Linked DNA regions of Callithrix jacchus. The protein of the gene in region 3 purifies or fractionates together with the protein of the main gene of each other region. This does not show direct contact. Links are inferred from orthologs where the notes say so. Each region holds a gene or a part of one and is shown on either strand. Other genes may lie near its edges.

Region 1 (6,787 bases), on a different chromosome or scaffold from region 3:
TGGAAGCTTTAGAGCAACTATGTCAAACAGAACTATAATGCAAGCCACACATATAATTTTTAATTTTCTAATAACCACATTAAAAAGGTAAAAAAGAAACAGGTGAAATTAATTTCAATGATAGTATCTTATTTATCCAAATATATTAAAAATATTATTTCAATATGCAGCTAATATAAAAACTTCCAGTGAAATAATTTAGTTTTATTTTGGTTTGAAGTCTTCGAAACTCGATATGTGTTTTACACTAAAAAGATATTTCACTTCCAACTAACCCCACTGCAAGTGCCCAATATCCACATGTACCTAAGTGGCTACTCTTATTAGACATGCCAATTCTTTTCCTGTGACCTCGTGAAAACTTATGCTCGGAGAATTACAGTGATATGAGACTATTTTAGCAGCATTCTACACTATGAAGCATCACAGAAGCTGTGTTCTAGCTTCCATTTAGTAATAATATAGCAATACTTTCCAGCCTGAAAAATAAACCACTAGTCGGCCATATCGTGCAACAACTTCATGGTAGTGACAGAATATATTCAGTACCCAGTCAGAAAACACCATATACAAGAGACCATACATAAACCCACCTTTTTGCTCTGCCCCACCATCCCTATCAAAATTATCAATCTCTTTTCCTGGAATGCTATCCTGTTGTGTCGCAAGATTGCCACATTTTTCCAAAGAAACCACAGGACAGGTATTTTGTATTCCAACTTCTTCAGGATACAAGGAGACTCAGAGTAAGACAGCAGAAAGACAGCAGAGGTCAAATAGGCTTCTCAGAGTTGACTGGGAACTTTGCCAGCCATCATTAAGTTTGTCCAAGTGACTTGAACAGGATCTTGAACAACACTGTGACTTGGCACCCACTTTTGTGCAAAATACTACAGGACACCACTATCCCCACACATCATTTAGAGCACTTAACATATGCTGGACAGTACGCTAGGTGTTTATCGCAATCCTTACAAACAATTCTTGAAGTAGTATTACTATTAGTACTACTTTGCAGAGAAGAAAATTGAGGTTTGAAAGCATTAATTGCCATAGATCACCTGTTTTTTGAAAGACCCTGGAGATAAGAATTACTTTTACATTGTTTAAAGGTTATAAAAACAGCTGGGTGCGGTGGCTCACACCTGTAATCCCAGCACTTTGGGAGGCCGAGGCGGGTGGATCACGAGGTCAAGAGATCGAGACCATCCTGGTCAACATGGTGAAACCCCGTCTCTACTAGAAATACAAAAAATTAGCTGGGCATGGTGGCGTGTGCCTGTAATCCCAGCTACTCAGGAGGCCGAGGCAGGAGAATTGCCTGAACTTAGGAGGTGGAGGTTGCGGTGAGCCGAGATCGCGCCATTGCACTCCTGCCTGGGTAACAAGAGTGAAACTCCATCTCATAAAAAAAAAAAAAAGTTATAAAAACAAAGAATAATGTGCAACAGAGATCATATATGGCCCCCAAAAGCCTAAAATATTTACTATCAGGCACTTAACAAAAGAAGTTTACTGACCCTGCACTAGATTACGGAATTAAATAGTCTGATTCCAAAACAAATTCTCTAAATCAGAGTTTCTCAATCTTGGCACGGTTGACATTTTGGGTTGGATAATTAATTCTTTGTCAGTGGCATCCCTGAGCTCTGTCCACTGGATGCCCGTAGCAGCACCCCTCCCCCACCCCAGCTGTGACAACCAAAAATGTCTCCAGACATTGCCAAATGTACCTTAGGCAGCAAAATCGTCCCCCACTGAGAATCACCACTCTAAATGGTCTTCAAACTGGAAGATGTGTGTCCCCCAGGACAAATAAAGTCTTCCACGGGACATACACTAACAGCATGCATGTAGTTTAAAAAAGAAAAAAGAAAAGGCTTCCAGATCCTTTACTTCCATTAGTATTCCTCACTAAACTAATCTGCCTGAGAACATGCCCACTGTCCAGTTATCATGCTGGTTCTTCTTCCCTGAGATCCTTTCGCAATCCTTCCGCTTTACAAAATAAAGACATACTTCTCACCCACTTCCATTCTTACTATGACACACTGCCCCAGGATGGAAAAGCCTCCCTACCAACAAAAAAGAAGTCAACGGGCTCAAAGACCCTCCTTTAATTTAGACACAACTCCCACTATCTATTCCATTAAGACACAGATTTCCAGTCAACTTCTACTCTTAATTATTATTCATTAAAATCCATCAGGTATTTATGCTATTCTGATCAACTGTTACTATTTATAATAATTCAATCCAAAAGAAAATTACAACTTATAGAATTATAGGAACAGTTTTAAACTTAGTTCAATTTATAAAAGTTCAAATTACAAAGACATGTATGACAGAAATTAATAAAAAGCTTTCAAGCATAAAAATACATTACCTTAAGATAATACTCTGTGGGATGGGGGTGATAAAAAAAGCAAGAAGGAAGTTTGTAAAATAGAATGTATTTTAAAAATTGATGGTGATATATCTAAAACTACAAAGATATGATACTCCACTGAATACAGCTAAAAGAATGATGTACCAGCATTATATTAAAATGTCAATAGCAATACCATGTGGAAAATTGCATCCTTTTCAACTAAAGCATGATGTAAAATGCTGTAAGTTAACCAAAAGTGTGCAAGAGGGACAGCTTTACAAAAATTATTTGGGGGTTCACAAGCAAATTAAAAGTACTGCTTTAAAAACCGCTCATACTGTAATACATGGCAAAGATACAATGGACATGGTCTGTCTCTGGCTCTCAGAAGCACCAAAATTTACTCTCTTTTGTTAAGCTCTCTCTGTACGTGTCTGGAACCCTTCTAAGATTATCGAATCTTCACTCTTGGAGGCTATTTGATTTTAAAAATGTTTTATAAATATGAGCCGTTTGCCTAAGACAAAGCTAGTAAATAATAAACTCAAATCAGTTCATGGATCAGAAAATGATGTGTCGAGAAAATTAAATGAGCTCTCGCCTGTAATCCCAGCTACTGCAGAGGCTAAGGCCAGAGGATAGCTTGGGCCCACAAGTTCAAGGTTGCAGTGAGCTAGGATTGTACTACTGCACTCCAGCCAGCCTGGGTGACAGAGCAAGAACTTGTCTCTTTAAAGAAAAAAAAAAAAAAAAAAAGGAAAATGAAAATTAGATAAGCTATATTTGATTCCAAAGCTAAAACTCCTACTATGTTTACAAGTCAGCAGAGTGAGGGAGGGTTAAAGAAAACCCAGAGTGACCCATGGTAGATAGTTATGTGGCTTAAGTCTTCAATAGGTAGCATTTGAAAGTAGAAGCAAAACATAATGAAGGAATACAGCTAGAAGCAATATTTACCTTGGGTATACCTTTACTTCTAAGCTTCTTTTACATACAGTGTGATGAAAGATTTCTTAAACAATGTGTCAAGGGAGGAAACAAGATGGCTACTGAGAAAGAAGAGTGTGCCTGTGTGTAGGGTGGAGTGGGAGGGCTAAATTCACAGGGTTGCTTAATTACCTTCCTTGCTTCATCTCCATCTTGAAGAGAAAAAAAGGTTACACAGGGAGAAGAGCCTGGATATCTGGAGGTTACATGTAAGTCTAATGGTCAATTTCAGTCTAATCTCTGGGGAATTTCAACACAGAAAAAGGTTTATATTAAAATAACACATTTTTATTTTGTGACTGGGATTTGCTACCTCCTCTCCAATCTCACAAAATACATTTTACAGAAATAAGGATTATAGGATGGTGACTTAAAAAAAAAAAGTCTATTCTATTCCTAAGCACAATTAAGCGTCAAGTGTCCAGAAAAGATAAAAACTATTATCACATGATTTCGATGAGGAGAGAAAGTCTTTGAAACAATCTGAAGTATTAAACTGTACCTACAATAGTGTAACAGTCTGTGAGAACAAACCAAATCTGTTCCTGCATACCAGTAGTTCACTTAAATTCTAATTTTTAACGTTCTAATAAAAGAAACAAAAAACGCATTTATTTCAACATAACTATATGTATGTGTGTGTCTTAAAAAAAAATACCCAAGAGCAAAGGTAAAATTCTGAATCAAAATACCTAGCAATTTAGTTCGATTCCATAAACACTGAAAGTAGTAACACTCTCACTTCACTCCCACATAACAGTCAACATTAAAGCAGTCTTTAATAATACCGCATTTGTCTCCCTAGATATGGCAGAAGTTTACCTAATGCCTATTTGGTCTTTTACCAAAAAAGCTGAGGGGGCTTTGTCTACGGCCTGTATGCACTCTCCCCGTAGCATCCCACTCATTCTAGCCTGTTAGGGAAACCACGCACAACAACGTTTCAGAGAGTGGCACAGGTGAAGCCGACCGGAAGCCGCATTACAGAAAGGCTTCCCGTTTCAAACAGGTCCAATAAACCCACCAAATTAAGTCTACGATTATAAAGACCCGCGAATCAGAAAACGGTTCCATATGTAAATGGATACAGTCTTCTATTACTTTTTTCCTCCATCTTCGGAAATTTCAAAGAAATACCACTACATTCTTAAATATCCGAGGCCATTATTTCCAACGCCGTAACAACCTGGCACGCAAAGTCGTTAAACTATAATACAATAAAGCCAATCTCCAGGATCCTCAGTGGATTACTAGAGTACTTCTTTACAATTAGAGGAAAACTGGGTCAGCCCTACAGTCACGCAATAATACGCCGCGTCACGAACCTGCGCATTCCAAGAGAAACTTTTCTCAGGCCCACAATAAAGTCGGAGGCATCCACCGCGCAGCTCAATCCCTAGGAAACTGGAAGGGATGTACCGTAAAGAGTCAAATCACGCGCAACCCCTCCCAATGTAACTGCAGTTGTTCGTGGGCCTCCTTGCAGAGAAAGGCTACCGAACCCGACACTGCAGTGGGCGCTGCGGGAGGGCGAAAGAACTGGGAGATCTGCGAACTCAAAGTAAACAACGGGGGTGGAGCCGGGAGAAGGATGAATGGCGAGGCTCCCAAAGGACCCCGCGACGCAAAGCGGGCGGGAAGGACTCCCTCCAACCTAAAAGTCCGAGGAGGAGAGACCGAAGGTTCCCTAAACACGACCCTGGGGCGGGGGAGGGGACGCAGAACAACTTCTCAAACTATTCTCTCACGAAATCGCTCCCTTCCTGAGACTTGGATGAGGCCCCACCCACCTCCGCCCTCGTCCCGCGACCCTGGCCGGCTCGGCCTCCCCGCGGGGTGAGCGGGGCCTGGGGTGCTCACGCCGCCCACCCAGGGGACCGCGCAGGGGTGAACTCCCCGCCGCCCCACCTGCGACTTCCAGACCTCGGGCGCCCCGGCGTCGCCTCGAGAGCTCCCCGCGCGGCCGCCACTGCCCGGGTCAGCTCGAGCTCCCCCACACGCGTAGCCACTGGGCTCGCCGAGGGCGGGTCCCGAGGTTTCCAAGGCCTCGAGCGCGCGCTCTCCGGGACCACCGAGACGTTCCGGGCCGCGCGCTCTCGAGCGCTCCCCGTCACGCGACTGCGCCGCCCCGCCCGTCGGCCTCGCTCCCGCCACAGAGCCCGGAGCGCGCCGCCGCGGTCACGCCGCAGATGCCCACGCGCGCGTCTTAGCAGCCGACTCGTCACCAGCCTGCTCAGACTAGGTTCTGTCCACTCTGACCTTCTAAATGGTACGTGGGAGGACGTCCGTCCTCTTGGAACCCAACAGTCACCGTAACACTCTGGAGGGAGAGAAAAGGAGCGTGGGCGGCAGGCGAGAGGGAACCTCGTGAGTCAGCGGCTCCACGCAGACCCCCAGACAAGGTCCCCTGCGGCCACGTCGGCCGTTCTGCGCCTGCGCAATCTCTTTCTCCCCTGCGTAACCGAGGCCTGGGGAGAGACTAGAAGCGAGTGTGGGCAGTGAGCGCTTGTAGCCGCAAGAGGGAGCGCTGGGCACAGTGCATGAAGGACGACAAAGGCTGACTGTCCCCTCAATGTCTCTGCAGCCTGCGCTTTGGGACTTCTGTATCCAGAGCATAATTTCCAAAAGCCCGCCTGCATCACGTGTTTTAAGTCTCGGGGGGTGTGTGTGTGTGTTAAAAGTCTCTATCACTATCATAAAAATGTTAATTCCTCACTCCAGGATACAAAAGTAATTGTGCCAATACCATTTAGGATTATGGAAGGCTAAAAGAGAAAAATCAAGATGAACATACTTTACCTCTCTTGACAAGTGTTTTTAAATTAGTAAAATATTGTAGATGAAAGACTTGTAACTCTTCCATAGGCCTGCCTTAGGGAAAAAAAAAAAAGAAAAGAAAAAGCAGTATGTACTTGCCCTGAGCATTTAGGACCAGTTTTGTTGTGGTTGTGTTTTGTTTTATGACAGTCTTACTCTATTGCCCGGGCTGCAGTGCAGTGGCATGATCTTGGCTCACTGCAACCTCTGCCTCCCAGGTTCCAGCGATTCTCGTGCCTCAGCCTCCAGAGAAGCTGGAATTCCAGGCGTGCACCACCACTCCCATCTAATTTTTGTATTTTTAGTAGAGTCAGGGTTTCTCCATGTTGGCCATGCTGATCTCCAACACTTGACCTCTAGTTGGCCAGGCTGGTCTCAAACTCCTGACCTCAAGTGATCCTCTTGCCTTGGTTTCACAAAGTGCTGGGATTACAGGCATGAGCCACCGAGCTTGGCCTTAAGACCAGTTAAGTGACTTTCCTAGGGATTTCAGTGACTTATTCCAGATGAATTAATCAGATTGATTCAATTAAGATTAATTAGCTATAGGGACTATTTGATGGGAAGAGGGTTTTAAATTTAAAACTGGGAGCCATTTGGTACTTCCCTCAA
Region 2 (6,787 bases), on a different chromosome or scaffold from region 3:
AGGAGACAGATAATAGACAACGTAAGGCAGTGTGTTAGAAAGTAATAAACGGTATTGGGGGAAAAACAGAACAGGGTATTAGGGCAGGCTGCAACTTTAAATAGGGTGGTCAGAGAAGGTTGGTGGTATTTGAGAAAAGACTTGAGGGAGTCAGTCAGCCCTGAAACCTGGGCAAGTACTCTAAGCATAAGAATAAGGAGGGCAAAGGTAGAATAGCAATGAGGCCAGGGAAGCTGGAAGGAAGCCCTTAACAAAGGAGTTAGTTGTAGGTGTCAAGGAGTACAGATTACATAGGGTTTATGGGACACTATAAGGAATTTGATTTTTTACTTTGAATGAAACAAAGATCCACAGAGGGTTGGGCAGACTGTCATGTTCAGGTTTAGCAGAATAACTGTGGCTGTTGTGTTGAAGACAGGCCTTAGCGAGGACAAGGGTGAAAGCAGGGATACCAGCTAGGAGGCTACAAAAGAAACCAAGGAGAGAAACATGCACTTCCTACAAACTTAGATCGTAATGGTACAGGGTTTACTTTTAGGCAAAAATAAATAAAAACAAATTTGTCAGATGTCAATAGGAAATAACTGGAACTGGCGCTTGTCATTATATTCATATTTTACATAATATAAGGCAGAAAACAATGACATCTTTTAACTACTCACCTCAAGAGCACCTGTTCCTTTACAATTAGCTATTCCCTGTTAACTACAATTCGTTGAAAAACTTACTTTTATCAACTGAAAATACTATAAATTGGTTGTGTGAGGTAGCTCACATCCGTAATCCCAGTCTGTGGGCGGCTGAGGCAGGAGGATCACCAGAGGCCAGGAGTCTGAAGCTGCCAAGTGAGCAATCCACTCTAGCCTGAATGACAGAGGGAGATTCCCAACTCAAATGAATAAATAACCTTGGATTAATGTTTCTCAGATCATTTAAAATAACCATTCGTAAAACAGATCTTATTTCTTTCGGGATGAGGACAATACTTTTTCTACAAAAGTTTCTTTTATGCTTTTAAAGTAATTTTCTTCCAATTGATACTGAATTTGTATATTAGTCTGTGTCATTCATTTCAGGAAAATGCAACTGTAAAAAACTGCCACTGTCAGCCAGGCACGGTGGCTCACACCTGCAATCCTAGCACTTTGGGAGGCCAAGGTGGGCAGACTGCTTGAAGCCAAGAGTTCAAGACCAGTCTGGTCAACATGGCAAAACCCCATCTCTACTAAAAATACAAAAAATTAGCTGGGCATGTAATCCCAGCTACTTGGGAGGCTGAGGCAGGAGAATCACTTGAACCCAGGAGCGGAGGTTGTAGTGAACCAAAATCGCACCACTGCACTCCAGCATGGATGACAGAGTGAGGCTCTGTCTCAAAACAAACAAAAACCTCCCACTGTCAAAAATCTAACATTTCCAAAAAAAAGTTCCCTCTTGACACCAAAAACCCCTCATCTCTCATCATCATCTACTCCTTCTGGAAAAGGCAAACACAGTTTCCATAAACTTTAGTACTTTTAATACTACAATTATCATAAGGATAGGAGAAAGAGAACAAGCCAACGATATTCAATTTGCCTGGAAACAAAGGGGATAGGAAGCAGGAGAACTGCTTAAGGCCGAGTTTTTACTTTGAATGAAACAAAGATCCACAGAGGGTTGGGCAGATGTCATGTTCAGGTTTAGCAGAATAAGTGGCTGCTGTGTTAAAGACAGGCCTATGAGTAACATAGGAGACCCTGTCTCTAATTTTTTTAAAAAGAGAAGCAGGTGAGGGTAGGGAGCGTAAGAGATTTAAAATAAAAACTTCAGGCCAGATTCGGTGGCACACACCTGTAATCCCAGCAATTTGGGAGGCCAAAGCAGGTGGACTATTTGAGGTCAGGAGTTCAACACCAGCCTGACCATGGTGAAATTGTGTCTCGACGTGACCAGGTGTGGTGGTTCATGCCTGTAATCCCAAAACTTTGGGAGACCGAGATGGATCACCTGAGGTTGGGAGTTTGAGACCAGCCTGACCAACAAGGAGAAACTCCATTTGTACTAAAAATACAAAATTAGCAGGGCATGGTGTCACATGCCGGTAATCCCAGCTACCTGGGAGGCTAAGGCAGAATTGCCTGAACCCAGGAGGTAGAGGCTGTGGTGAGCCAAGATCATGCCACTGCACTCTAGCCTGGGCAACATTAACAAGACTCCATCTCAAAAAGAAAAAAAAAGGAAATAACCACTTTTGTTGTATAGTAAATAAGGGAGGGAAAGAGAGTGAAATATAAACACAGCTTGCTTGCTTCACTCAAAGGTACTTGTAAAGACATCCAGCTTCAGCTTTTTTTTGAGACAAAGTTTCGCTCTTTGTTGCCCAGGCTGGAGTGCAGTGGGGCAATCTTGGCTCACTGCAACCTCCACCTCCCAGGTTCAAGCGATTCTCCTGCCTCAGCCTCCCAAGTAGCTGGGATTACAGGCATGTGCCACCATGCCCAGCTAATTTTGTATTTTTAGTAGAGACTGGGTTTCTCCATTTGGTCAGGCTGGCCTTAAACTCCCGACCTCAGGTGATCCTCCGGCCTCCGCCTCCCAAAGTGCTGAGATTACAGGCATGAGCCACTGTATCCGGCCCAGATTAAGCTTTCTTGAGACTATCCTTGTGACATTGTACTTTGGAAAAAATAGTTGTGTAAATACAGAAAATACTGAATTCAACGTCATTAATCCATTCAGTTAGGTGCTTATGTGCCAGAAATTGAGTGAGGGGAAGAGTCCCTGTTTTCAAGGGCTTTTACTCATCATTTATCTCCCAGTTACTACCTACTGAGGCAGATGTAAGGGATACAACAGCAAACCAGAAACAGATTCCCTACCTTCACGCAGCTTGCACTGAAAAAGGCGAATACAAAAATGAGACACACATCTCACAAAGATAGAACATTAAAGTGTTATAGATATTACTTATGGAAGTGTAGTGGTTTCAGTGGGGACACAAACAAGGGATTCGGGCTGGGAGGGAAGGGAATGCTGGGACTTCAGACACAAAAGCTTGAGTTCTCAAAGAGGATTAGATGTCCACCTGGTTGACCTGGGGGAAGGGCTCCAAGCAGAGAGCAACTGAAGCAAAACAAAGGTGTGAAGAGCCTGGTGTATTTGGTAGGCCTAGAATCTAGAACGTAATAGAGAGAAGCCATGGAGGCTTCTGTATGCCACAATCAAGACTGGACTTTACTGGTATACATGAAATGCCCCAGAAGAATTATATTCAGAAAATCGGCATATATGATCAGGTTTTTCTGGTGTGACGAGACACTGGTTTACACAGGAATGAGAAAACACTAGGTAATGATGTCACCACATGAAACAAAGGAGAATGCCCAGTCAGAAAACTAAACTCTTCAGGAAAAAATTAAGTACTACTACTGAAGCCCTCTGAAAGATTGTATTCAATATCATCTAAAATGAAAAAAGTACAGGAAATGTTTTTACATATATATTATGGATTAAACATCCACATACCTATTTTGAGTTTAAGAATTAGTCATTCTAATTCTGTAACACATCTGGGACTAATGATTGTTGTACAAAAAGCAGTAAAATCTATTTAGGAGTCTTTGATACAAAGGGAGAACACCACGAGTAACCGAAGGAATTTCCCGTCAGGTTTAAAGGTTTCCAAAGTTCAAGCTAATCAAGTTTTCTTAAGTCAGCACGTTTAAAAGGTGTGTCATATGGGTGGAGCAAAAGGAGGAGGGATTAAAATTTATATACATGTATATATATATAAACAAGTAGCCTGATGTCGCTAGGGCTAAAATCACTTGGAGATCCGTCTCCGAAGCTGAGGGAGAAATGAAGACCTGCCAGATCCAATTAACAAAGACGAAGGAGGGGGTAAGAGGATGACCACACATGAAAACATAAATGGGGCGGGGTGGGGGGGTAGTGCTTGGCAACCACCTATCCAGAACCCATAATCCAGTTGGCGGTGCGACGAGGAAATCACACGATTCAGACATAAAGGCAGGAAAATGTCACTCCCAAACTCCACAAGCGAACCACCAGACACTGGCCTAGGGGATGTGATCACGTTCTCTGATCCCAGAACTCAAGGGCAGAGGGTACCATCCCCACACGGTGCCCGAGGGGAGGCGAAGAACCAACCCTATTCTGCGAACAGAGAGCAAATGTCCTCAGATCCAGCCCTAAGGGGGTCAATGCCGCCCAGGCCAGGCCTTGCCGAAGCCAGGGGCAGAGACCGCCCGAAGCCCCCACAGTCTCAGCCAGAGCTGCCTCTACTCCTCGCTCCCTCCAACACACACCCTCCCCTACCTGATATGGCGGCGGCGGCTCCTGATCCGGCTCCGTTCCCTCACCAAAGCTAGCCCGGTCGGACTGAGACTCGTGAAGGAGGGAGATGTCATCCGAGGTGGGGGATTTGAGGCAGTTCCCCATCTTCCGGAGCTGCGGTGCGTGATCTGGGGGAGGATAAAGCAGCGGTGGGGTCGTTCGCAAGCTCCGCGGTCAGCCTCGGTCGGCGAGGTGGGGTCGGGCGGCAGGCCGGGGATCAGGCGCAGGTGATTCCACCGCCCCGCGGTGCCGCCGAGGGGCCGCTCATGCCAGCCCCCGGAGGTGGGGGCTCAAGGCTGGGCCGCGGGCTCCGCTGGGGTCGCGGCGGTTGCCTCCTGCGAGGCGGCGATGGGGGGGGGGGCGGGGAGACGAAGCACTTCCCCACCCCGCCCCCCCGCGGGGCGGCGGCGGCCACGGAGCTGCTGGGCCTAATCCAGGTCAGGAGGGGGGGGCGCGGCCGTCGCGGCTGCCTCAGCTGCTGCCTCAGCTGCTGCTGCCCCCGCCGACGCCGGAGCCACGGCCGCGGGCCTCATCCTACTCCGCCTCAGCGCGGCGGCAGCAACCACAACGAGGCAGGCTCAGACCCTACGTCATCGCGCCGTGCGTGCTCTAGTCCCGCCCCCGGCGCCAGGGGGCGAGGGTGGCTCCGGCGGCTCCCATCCCCCTCCGCCCCCAGCAGCTGTTCCTGGGGCTGCGTCAATTTTCGCTTCTCTCTGACTGCTTGGCTCCGTACCCGTCCCCGAAACCAATCTCCCATCTCCGGCACCTCACCACATACACTGCGCCCGCCCGGTCTGGGTCTCAGTTCTTACCTGTGCAGTGTCTGACAGTCTTCTCAGTACCCTTTGACAAGCGGTCTATTTATATAAACCCATATCGGAATGAATCAGTCCCAAGATTAAAATATTAAAAGTCGTCCCCTTTATCCCTTCAAAATAAAGTCCTAGCTCGTTAATGAACCCTCCTTACCGCTCCAATCACTTCCTTATCCTCCCACATCACAGCCAGAGAGATTCTTCTTCCAGTTGTGTATTAGATTGTTCCATTTCTTTCCAGTCCAAGCACCGAAGTCCAAGCCACCATCATCCCTCACCCACTCTTCTGCAGTAGACTCTCAGCTGCTCCTGAGTTGATCATTGCCCACATCCAATCCACTGTTTGCAGAGTTGAGAGTTATCTTTTTAAAATTTAAATTGGATCATGTTATTCTCCTGTTAAAACCTTCAATGTCTCCTCAAGGCTGTCCTTAAAACAATCCTTAAGCAGGACACGGTGCCTCAAGCCTGTGATCACAAACTTTGGGAGGCAGAGGCGGGCGGATCATGAGGTCAGGAGATAGAGACCATCCTGGCTAACGCAGTGAAACACCGTCTCCACTAAAAATGCAAAAAAATAGCCGGGCATGGTGGCGCGCGCCTGTAGTCCCAGCTACTCGGGAGGCTGAGGCAGGAGAATCGCTTGAACCCGGAAGGCAGAGGGGTTTACAAATCCGACTCCCTTTTCTTTTCTTTTTTTTTTTTTTTTTAATTTTTTATTGGATTATAGGTTTTGGGGTACATGAGCAGAGCATGCAAGACAGTTGCATAGGTACACACATGGCAGTGTGCTTTGCTTTTCTTCTCCCCTTCACCCACATTTGGCATTTCTCCCCAGGCTATCCCTCCCCACCTCCCCCTCCCACTAGCCCTCCCCTTTTCCCCCCAATAGACCCCAGTGTTTAGTACTCCCCTTTCTGTGTCCATGTGTTCTCATTTTTCATCACCCACCTATGAGCATTAGCAGCATTGTCCCCTCCTTCACAAATTCTAAACTCGGCTCTCTAAAGTGATGTTCGTTATCTGGAAGACTATTGGCTCTGCCTGGGGCCTTTGTTTCTCTCACAGAAACCAACTTCTCCCCAATCCCAAACTTTCTGCTTCTTGGGCGGACACAACTTCATTTCCCCTGGGGAGCCTCACCTTACCCTCCAGTCTGAGTTAGTCGCTTCCTCTGCGTTCTCAGACCCTGAGCTTTTCTCTGTCACAGCCTGATCAAGCTGAATCATCTGTCCCTCTGTGCAAGGCTGGCACACTGCCCAAGGTAGAGTATGCTCTCTCCTTGGTTGAATGAACAGCTCAAACAACATATGCAAAAGAAGGAAGCAAGAAGGATGACAGTGCTACTGATAGACCTTCATTCAGCAGGTGGATCTTGACTGCCTTTCGTTTTATTCACCATTTACTGACTTTGCGTGTGCATGTGCATACCAGACTCCACGCTAAGCACTGGGGAAAATAATGATCACACCTGGATTGTTCCTGATAGAACCCAGAGACCACCTGGGAAGACAAGTAATAAGATTAGTCATAAATCCACACCCTGCCACGGCCCCCAAGGTTTTTAGAGGAACCAGTAGACAGCGATTAGTTCATTTGGGTGAGGAACAGAAAGAATTCTTAGAGGTAGGGCT
Region 3 (6,781 bases):
AGGTTCCTTCCTTTCTTTTGAGCATATGAAAAGAATGCTGAATTTGGAAAGTGGCCATGATCCTATAAGAACCTAAAAGCTCTCATTTTCTTGATGGCAAAGTTAACTGAGTTTTTAATTAGAGGATGTGTACTGGCTGTGGATGTTGTAAAAATGACTTCTTTCATACTTTCCTCATCTATAAAATAAGCATCATTAAAGAAATAACCCACCAATTTCATGGAGTTGTAAGGAATAAGAGAATAATTTATGTAACGGATTTACCATGAGATAACTTCTGTTACCTCTGATTTTGTTCTTGGTTGAGAATTGAGGAGAGAAATTTTGGAATTTAGGGGATGTCAGTTTTGGATTTAGATCAAATCCCCAGTTGACCTAAAGTTTGGCTTTTAAGGTTAACTAATTAAGTGTTACAGGAGAATTGTAGTTTGTGTTATTTCAAAAAAGGAAGATTTTACGTCTGCAACATCCACCAAGTCTTTTTAGGTTCAACCAAACAAACATTCAGACTTAACAAGCCTACAGTAGGCTATATTTGGCACCACTTTACTCAGAAGGCTATAGGACAGGAAAAGCAGCTCGCCAGCAGGGCAATTTTGAACCTCCTTTCAGAAGACGGTTTCCTAATAGCAGTCTATGCAACGGTATCTCCTAGGAGATGAAAGTTTCCTAGGACTGTCATCTCCCCAGGTAACAGCTCAGGGTACTCTTTAAAGGGCATCCAGTGTAGAAGTTTTCCACTCAGGTATGCCCAAAGCTATGGCTTTCTATCATGTATCTGGAGATTTCCCAGTCCAGATAAAACTTACCAGTCAGCGGTCGTGTTTACCAGAAGCAAAGTTGCCTGGCAATACAGTTGACACGTACCATCCTCCTATTTAGTTTTCAGGATAGGAAGAGCTAGATAACAGAAGTCATCAGGGGAGAAGATTTTAACCTTTTCATTTTCAACTACGTGGGAAGTATAGAGGGAAAAAAACCCCAAAACACGGGTAAGCTACTTTCCCTGGAAGACAAACAATTAAACTGATCTAATAGAATGGTGTTGGGCCTGTAATCCATTCCCTGGGCCATTTACTGGTGGTGGGGGCAGGGGAGCCACCCAAATGAAGTAGCAATATAAACCTGTCTCTGAGCCTCCCTCTCTTGTCTGTTTCCTCATGAACTGTGTTTTGGTCACAGAGAATCTTGCACTTTTAATTTCTTTCTGGTTGATCCAGCACAGAAGGGAGAAAGTAGAGAAAGTGAAGGGAGAAAAGGGAAAGGAGAAAATAGAGAAGGTGAGCGCGGGACCATTATTTCTACAGTTTTTCTGACTGCTACTAGATAGATAAATCAAGACAGCTCTGCCTGTATATAGGTCTTGGATATCTATAATTGGGTGTGAAAACTGGATGACCCTGATGAATTATGAATTCTCCAAAATAAAGCTGGTTTGGTCTCTTGTAAAGCTCTGTGTAGCCTCACCTGGTGAATCTTAATTTCTTGAGGAGGGAGACCAGTACCCTGAAAACCAACTGGAATGCCATCTTCTTCAGTCAAATCTGCTAAATCATACCTCCAGTGAATGACAGTCAATAACTTCTGTCATAGCAAAATTTATACAGCAGTGGTACCATTTGTAATTCTAATACTTAATTGTTTATGGTATAATTAAGGCAGTCCTTTTTTAAGACCAGTTAACTCTCTATCACATAAGCTGTCTTATACCTTAGAATTTTTTTTTAATTTTTTAGGCTTGAAAATAACCAGAGTGTCTGCAATTAGGATTTGGAAAAGGAGTCTATTCACCAAGCAGATTACTGCCTTTCTTTCACCTTTACTATGAATTCTGAATAAAATACAGAACACACTCTTGATTAATATGTAGAAAAATAAAATTTTGGCAAAACAACACTGTTTATGGAAGGTAACATGTATACTAGTTTTTTTCTGTATATACTTAGCAGTGATATATTTATAGGCAACACATTCTAAGAAGTCAGTTCCATGGCTATAAAAAATGTTTAAGTTAATGAAATTTACAGTGCATATTAAAAGTGTGATACAAATGGAAATTTAAAGTTTTGTATTAGGAAGCCCAGTTTGCTAAAAATGGCACTAATATCATTAACATCAGATTTTAATTTGTTACACATTATTCTAACTCAGCAAAGGCCTTATGATGAAAAACAATGAAAAAGTGTTACTTAGGACAAAAATAATTATCTATATAAAAAGGGGGAGACCCAAAAGATTTTTATATGCTTATTTAATTCAGATAAATAGAGCTGTTACGAATTTGAGAGGAATGAAGATATTCAAACACTAACAGAAAATCATTAGCCTCATATTTGTTAGAGCATTCAAATGTTTATGTAACTCTTCAATCCATCTGGCTTTATAAAACCAAAACTTTGAACACAAAAAAAGTGGCAGAGTTCAAATTACCTTTTATGTGTTCCTAAGTATGAAATTGCATCAATTTATTATGAATTAAATTTTGAAGAACACAGATTTTAAAACAAAGTACAAAAGTGCCTGATTCTTTTTAATTCCACAAATACCTAGCATCCCAAAATAACATGTAAACAGACTTCTATGCTGCTCAATGAATCCTTCCAATTTCGGTAATAAACTAAATAGTATTGGATCTAGTATATGAGTTTCATGTGTAAGTTACGGTTTTATCCGTTGCTTTTACAATATTACTGATGTAATAGGGAAAAATTTTCAACTATTGTATTTATTTAAAACAATCTGACAGGTTCAAGCACCTATCTTCAGAAAAGCCAGCAGCATTTTTTTTAAAAACATATTCAAAGTAAGATTTGGCCTAAGCCCTTAATACCTTCCTGAATAGCCATGCAACTAAACACCCTCAGATGTTACATAAGGGAGAGAAGAACATGGAGCAATTTGCACTTTTTCCCCTAGATAATATTAACAAGATAAAGCAAATTCAGATCTTTATGAATGAACGGCTGTCATGTTTAATACACTTGGAGCTCTATAAAACTAGAGCCACTATCATATATGGTTATATAGATATATACGTATTTTTAATAAAGTCTCTCACTTGCTTCAAAATGTAAGGATGATCTTTTTCCTGGTCAGTCATTTCAAGGGAACAATAAATAAAGTAGAAAAGGATGAACTGTTTTGCATATTTCTGTGGAAGAACGGAAAACATACTTTTGAGAGGTTTGAAAAATTCACTGTACAGAATGAACAGCTTATATACACTATCTGTGCAATTTTTCTTGTCTGGGGTATTTAAATGCAAGAGCTCCTCCAAAATAAGAAGCCACATTCATTCTTGTCCAAATCCCTCTGTCTCTTCTATTGCAAAGAGAAGTTTTTCCTTTAGTTGTTCATAACTCTTATATGGTGGTAGGTCCAAGCGATTAAAACTGAACAGAAACAAAAACAAAATGAGATGTTTTCAATAAAATGAAAAAAATTCTAATAGAATATTTTTCAAATCACACAGAAAAGCTGAATGGATATGTGAATACATATTATATATGTAAAAATTTTGCCGGAAGTATTCTAACAGACAATTTACTACTGTAACATTACTTAATTGGTATATTAACATTTCTAAGTTTCTTAGCGCAATCCAAATTTAAGATTTACATATAAAAACGATTTTAACATCTCCCAGAGAAAAATGGAATTAAGTGTAGCAATATGGATAAAGACTGGATTTTCTTTTTAAGCATTAATCTTCTCTTTACTATTCCTGTTACATGTGTCATGAGTCCTCCTAACTGCTCTTAGGATAAGAGTCCATTATCCTAATGGATTCGTTCATCCACTTACTCACTCATTCATCAGTTATTTACCTAGATTCTTTATATAACAGATACTGTTCTAAAAACTAGTGATACAATAAAGAAAACTAAAATCCCTGTCTTCGTAGTATTTACATTCTGGGGTGGAGACAGTCAATGAACAAATGCATACGTTTCTTTGTCTTTATAATCTAACCACATATAAAAAACTTCTAAAATGATATATTTTCCAGTCCTGCCAGACTCAAATAATTCCATTCTGGGATGAAAAATTTTTAAATACTGAAAAATGCTTAAAATAACAATATTTTTCAGTTTACAAAGGTAGAATAACATTTCATTTTGTGAGGTACAGCAGTGAGTAGCTAGATTAGGATTTGGATGTTCAGGGTTTTGGTCCTCATAGTAGCAGTGACTAATGAGATAGCTCTGAGTAAGAACCTTTCTGTACCCTCATTTTCTCATGTGGAAGGTTTTTAGAGATTACCCAGGTACCCTCTTGCCACTCCCACACTCCATGTGCCCTTGAGCCTCCCCTGTCAGAGGAAACCTGAAAATTAAGAGCCTTTGAAACAAGACAGCTAATTAGAACAGAGTTGTTCTAAGACTATTATTGTCTGTATTTTAAAAGAAGTTAAAGATATTAATAGCAGCAATTAAGTAGACCATATGTTGCTCTCCCCTTTATACTTCAAGGTAGAATATGATAGCAAGGTCAGAAAAAAATATTTTTAAAATACTTCCTATACAGGACAACCAGTCACTTTCTGATCTCTTAACATCTTTCACATATAGCCTTTGCCAAATTCTGTCATTCTATCTATCATATACTCCATATTTTCTCCTGGTTATTTATTTAGAGACAGGGTCTGGGTCTGTCACCTAAGCTAGGGTGCAGTGGCACTGTCTCGGTTCACTGCAACTCAACCTCCCAGGCTCAAGTAATCCTCCCACCTCAGCCCCCAGACTAGCTGGGAGTACGGGCACATGCTACCATGGCCATTTTGTAGAGATGAAGCTTTGCTATGTTGCCCAGGCTCCTCCTGATCATTTCTACTACCACTACATCCCTCTGTACATACTTCCCCATCATCTCTTACCTGGACCATCAGAGAATTTCCTGGCTACTTAACTGTGAGTCCATTTTGTTTTGTTTCTTTTTTACTTTTTGCTAAAAAGACATAGATACCAGTTTATGCCACTCTTCAAAAACCTTTGCTGCTTTTGAGTTGCCATGGGTTGAGAGGGGACTGTGGTGGGGAAAGGAAGCTTATACTCTTTACCATCAACTTGGTCCATGCTCTCCCGAGCATACCACACATCTTGCTTCTCTGTAACCCTGCTCTCTATGGTCTAGAATACACTTTTCATCAAGAACCAGACCAAATGCTACAACTTCCTCTTTAAACATCTTACACGGATAATATCCCTATCCATAGGCTCCCTTTATTTCTGTTTTAACATCTATTTTAATCTACTCTGGATTAGGACTGATTGGTTTCTCCCATCAGATTCTAAAATTCACAAGGGCAGTCATCTCTGTACTCTCATAAGGATGATCTGTTTCACATAGGGTTGATATTTAATAAATGTTGAGTTGAAAAGCATGAAAGTGGGTTACTTGAAAACATCCAAAACAGGCTTCTGTTTTAAAACACTGGCTATTATGTTTTGTGCTGTTTTACAAAAAGACAGAGACATGCTAAAATCGATTCTGCTTTCTTCAGTCACTGACTCCAAGACTATACCTTGAACCCTGCCATCACCAGTAAAGGAAGTTTCTAATTTAAAAATCCTGTTCTCTTACCATGTCTTTCCAGTTTATTTCAATTAAAATGCCAGCCTGTTGACCCATGACTTCATCATCCTATCCCGTCCTGTCCTCAGCCTCTTGTTCTCTCTTTTTGCTTTATCTACAGCCCATCACTATAATTACTTTAGAAATCGTGGGCCATCATTATACATTATAATGTATTTGTATTTCATTTGTATTTATAAAAGTATCTGCAAATAATTTTATTTTTCATTTATTTTCATTTATTATACAGAGACAGAATCTAGCTCTGTATCCCAGGCTGGATGGAGTGCAGTGGCGCAATCTCGGCTCACTGCAACCTCAGTCTCTGGGGTTGAAGTGAATCTCCTGCCTCAGCCTCCTGAGTAGCTGGGATTACAGGCATGCACTGCCATGCCCAGCTACTTTTTTGTACTTTTAGTAGAGATTGTGTTTTCCCACATTGGTCACGCTGGTCTCGAACTCCTGGGATCTGACCACATCAGCCTCCCAAAGGGATTACAGGCGTGAGCCACATCACCCATCTTACAAATACTTTTAAATCTCACACCTCTCCCTCTTTTGAATGAACTAATCAACTGAAATTCTGATGAACCCAACCTTCAGCTTTCTTGTTCCTTTCACCTTAACAACTGAAAATTGCTGGGGGCGGGGGGGGGGGGGCAGAAATCATGCATTCAAGTAGGTTGTCACTTCAAATGTACTTCTAATCCAAGTGCACAATCCAATTTTGCCTAGCAATCTTAGCCATGTTCCTCTAATCAATATGTTCCTATTCTCTAACAATTCTCCCAATTCCTTCTTTTCTTTCAAAAGTTTTTCCTTTCTTCACTCTTAGCCAGTGACTGACTTCTCCTTATACTCTGAGAAAACAGAAATCAATGGGTGGTAATTACTTTCTTTTCACAAAATTTGAAATCTATTTTAACTCTTCCCCTTGCCACAAAAATATCACTCTCAACACACACACACACACACACACACACACACACACAGACATACATATGTGTACATACTGGATCCACCACTTTAACTGAAGCCAGAGGTCTTCAAATTTTGGTCACAGGACCCCTTTTCACTCTTAAACATATTGTCAACCTCAGCTGGGAGTGGTGGCTCATGCCTATAATCCCAGCACTTTCAGAGGCCAAGGCAGGAGGATAACTTGAGTCCAGAGTTTAAGACTCACCTGGGACAACATCACAAGACT

The links. Proteins that work in one complex are often made in the same cells at the same time.
Region 1: the proteins of WWP1 (region 3) and SPART purify together in Homo sapiens (affinity purification with mass spectrometry; 5 studies listed by BioGRID and IntAct, counting the BioPlex papers as one, with this or other methods). This does not show direct contact. The link is inferred for Callithrix jacchus from reciprocal best matches to the Homo sapiens genes WWP1 and SPART.
Region 2: the proteins of WWP1 (region 3) and RNF11 purify together in Homo sapiens (affinity purification with mass spectrometry; 3 studies listed by BioGRID, with this or other methods). This does not show direct contact. The link is inferred for Callithrix jacchus from reciprocal best matches to the Homo sapiens genes WWP1 and RNF11.

Annotation. Positions count from the first base shown.
Region 1 is NC_133506.1:155,586,462-155,593,248, forward strand, and holds the start of SPART (spartin), read right to left. Parts: upstream 4,630-6,787; 5' UTR 4,473-4,629; coding exon 4,460-4,472; exon of another isoform or gene 4,447-4,459; intron 3,384-4,446; exon of another isoform or gene 3,329-3,383; intron 1-3,328. UniProt on the Homo sapiens protein: Lipophagy receptor that plays an important role in lipid droplet (LD) turnover in motor neurons.
Region 2 is NC_133508.1:88,114,759-88,121,545, reverse strand, and holds the start of RNF11 (RING finger protein 11), read right to left. Parts: upstream 4,905-6,787; 5' UTR 4,444-4,904; coding exon 4,321-4,443; intron 3,883-4,320; exon of another isoform or gene 3,796-3,882; intron 1-3,795. UniProt on the Homo sapiens protein: Essential component of a ubiquitin-editing protein complex, comprising also TNFAIP3, ITCH and TAX1BP1, that ensures the transient nature of inflammatory signaling pathways. Promotes the association of TNFAIP3 to RIPK1 after TNF stimulation.
Region 3 is NC_133517.1:40,617,643-40,624,423, forward strand, and holds the end of WWP1 (NEDD4-like E3 ubiquitin-protein ligase WWP1), read right to left. Parts: intron 3,393-6,781; coding exon 3,293-3,392; 3' UTR 1,800-3,292; downstream 1-1,799. UniProt on the Homo sapiens protein: E3 ubiquitin-protein ligase which accepts ubiquitin from an E2 ubiquitin-conjugating enzyme in the form of a thioester and then directly transfers the ubiquitin to targeted substrates.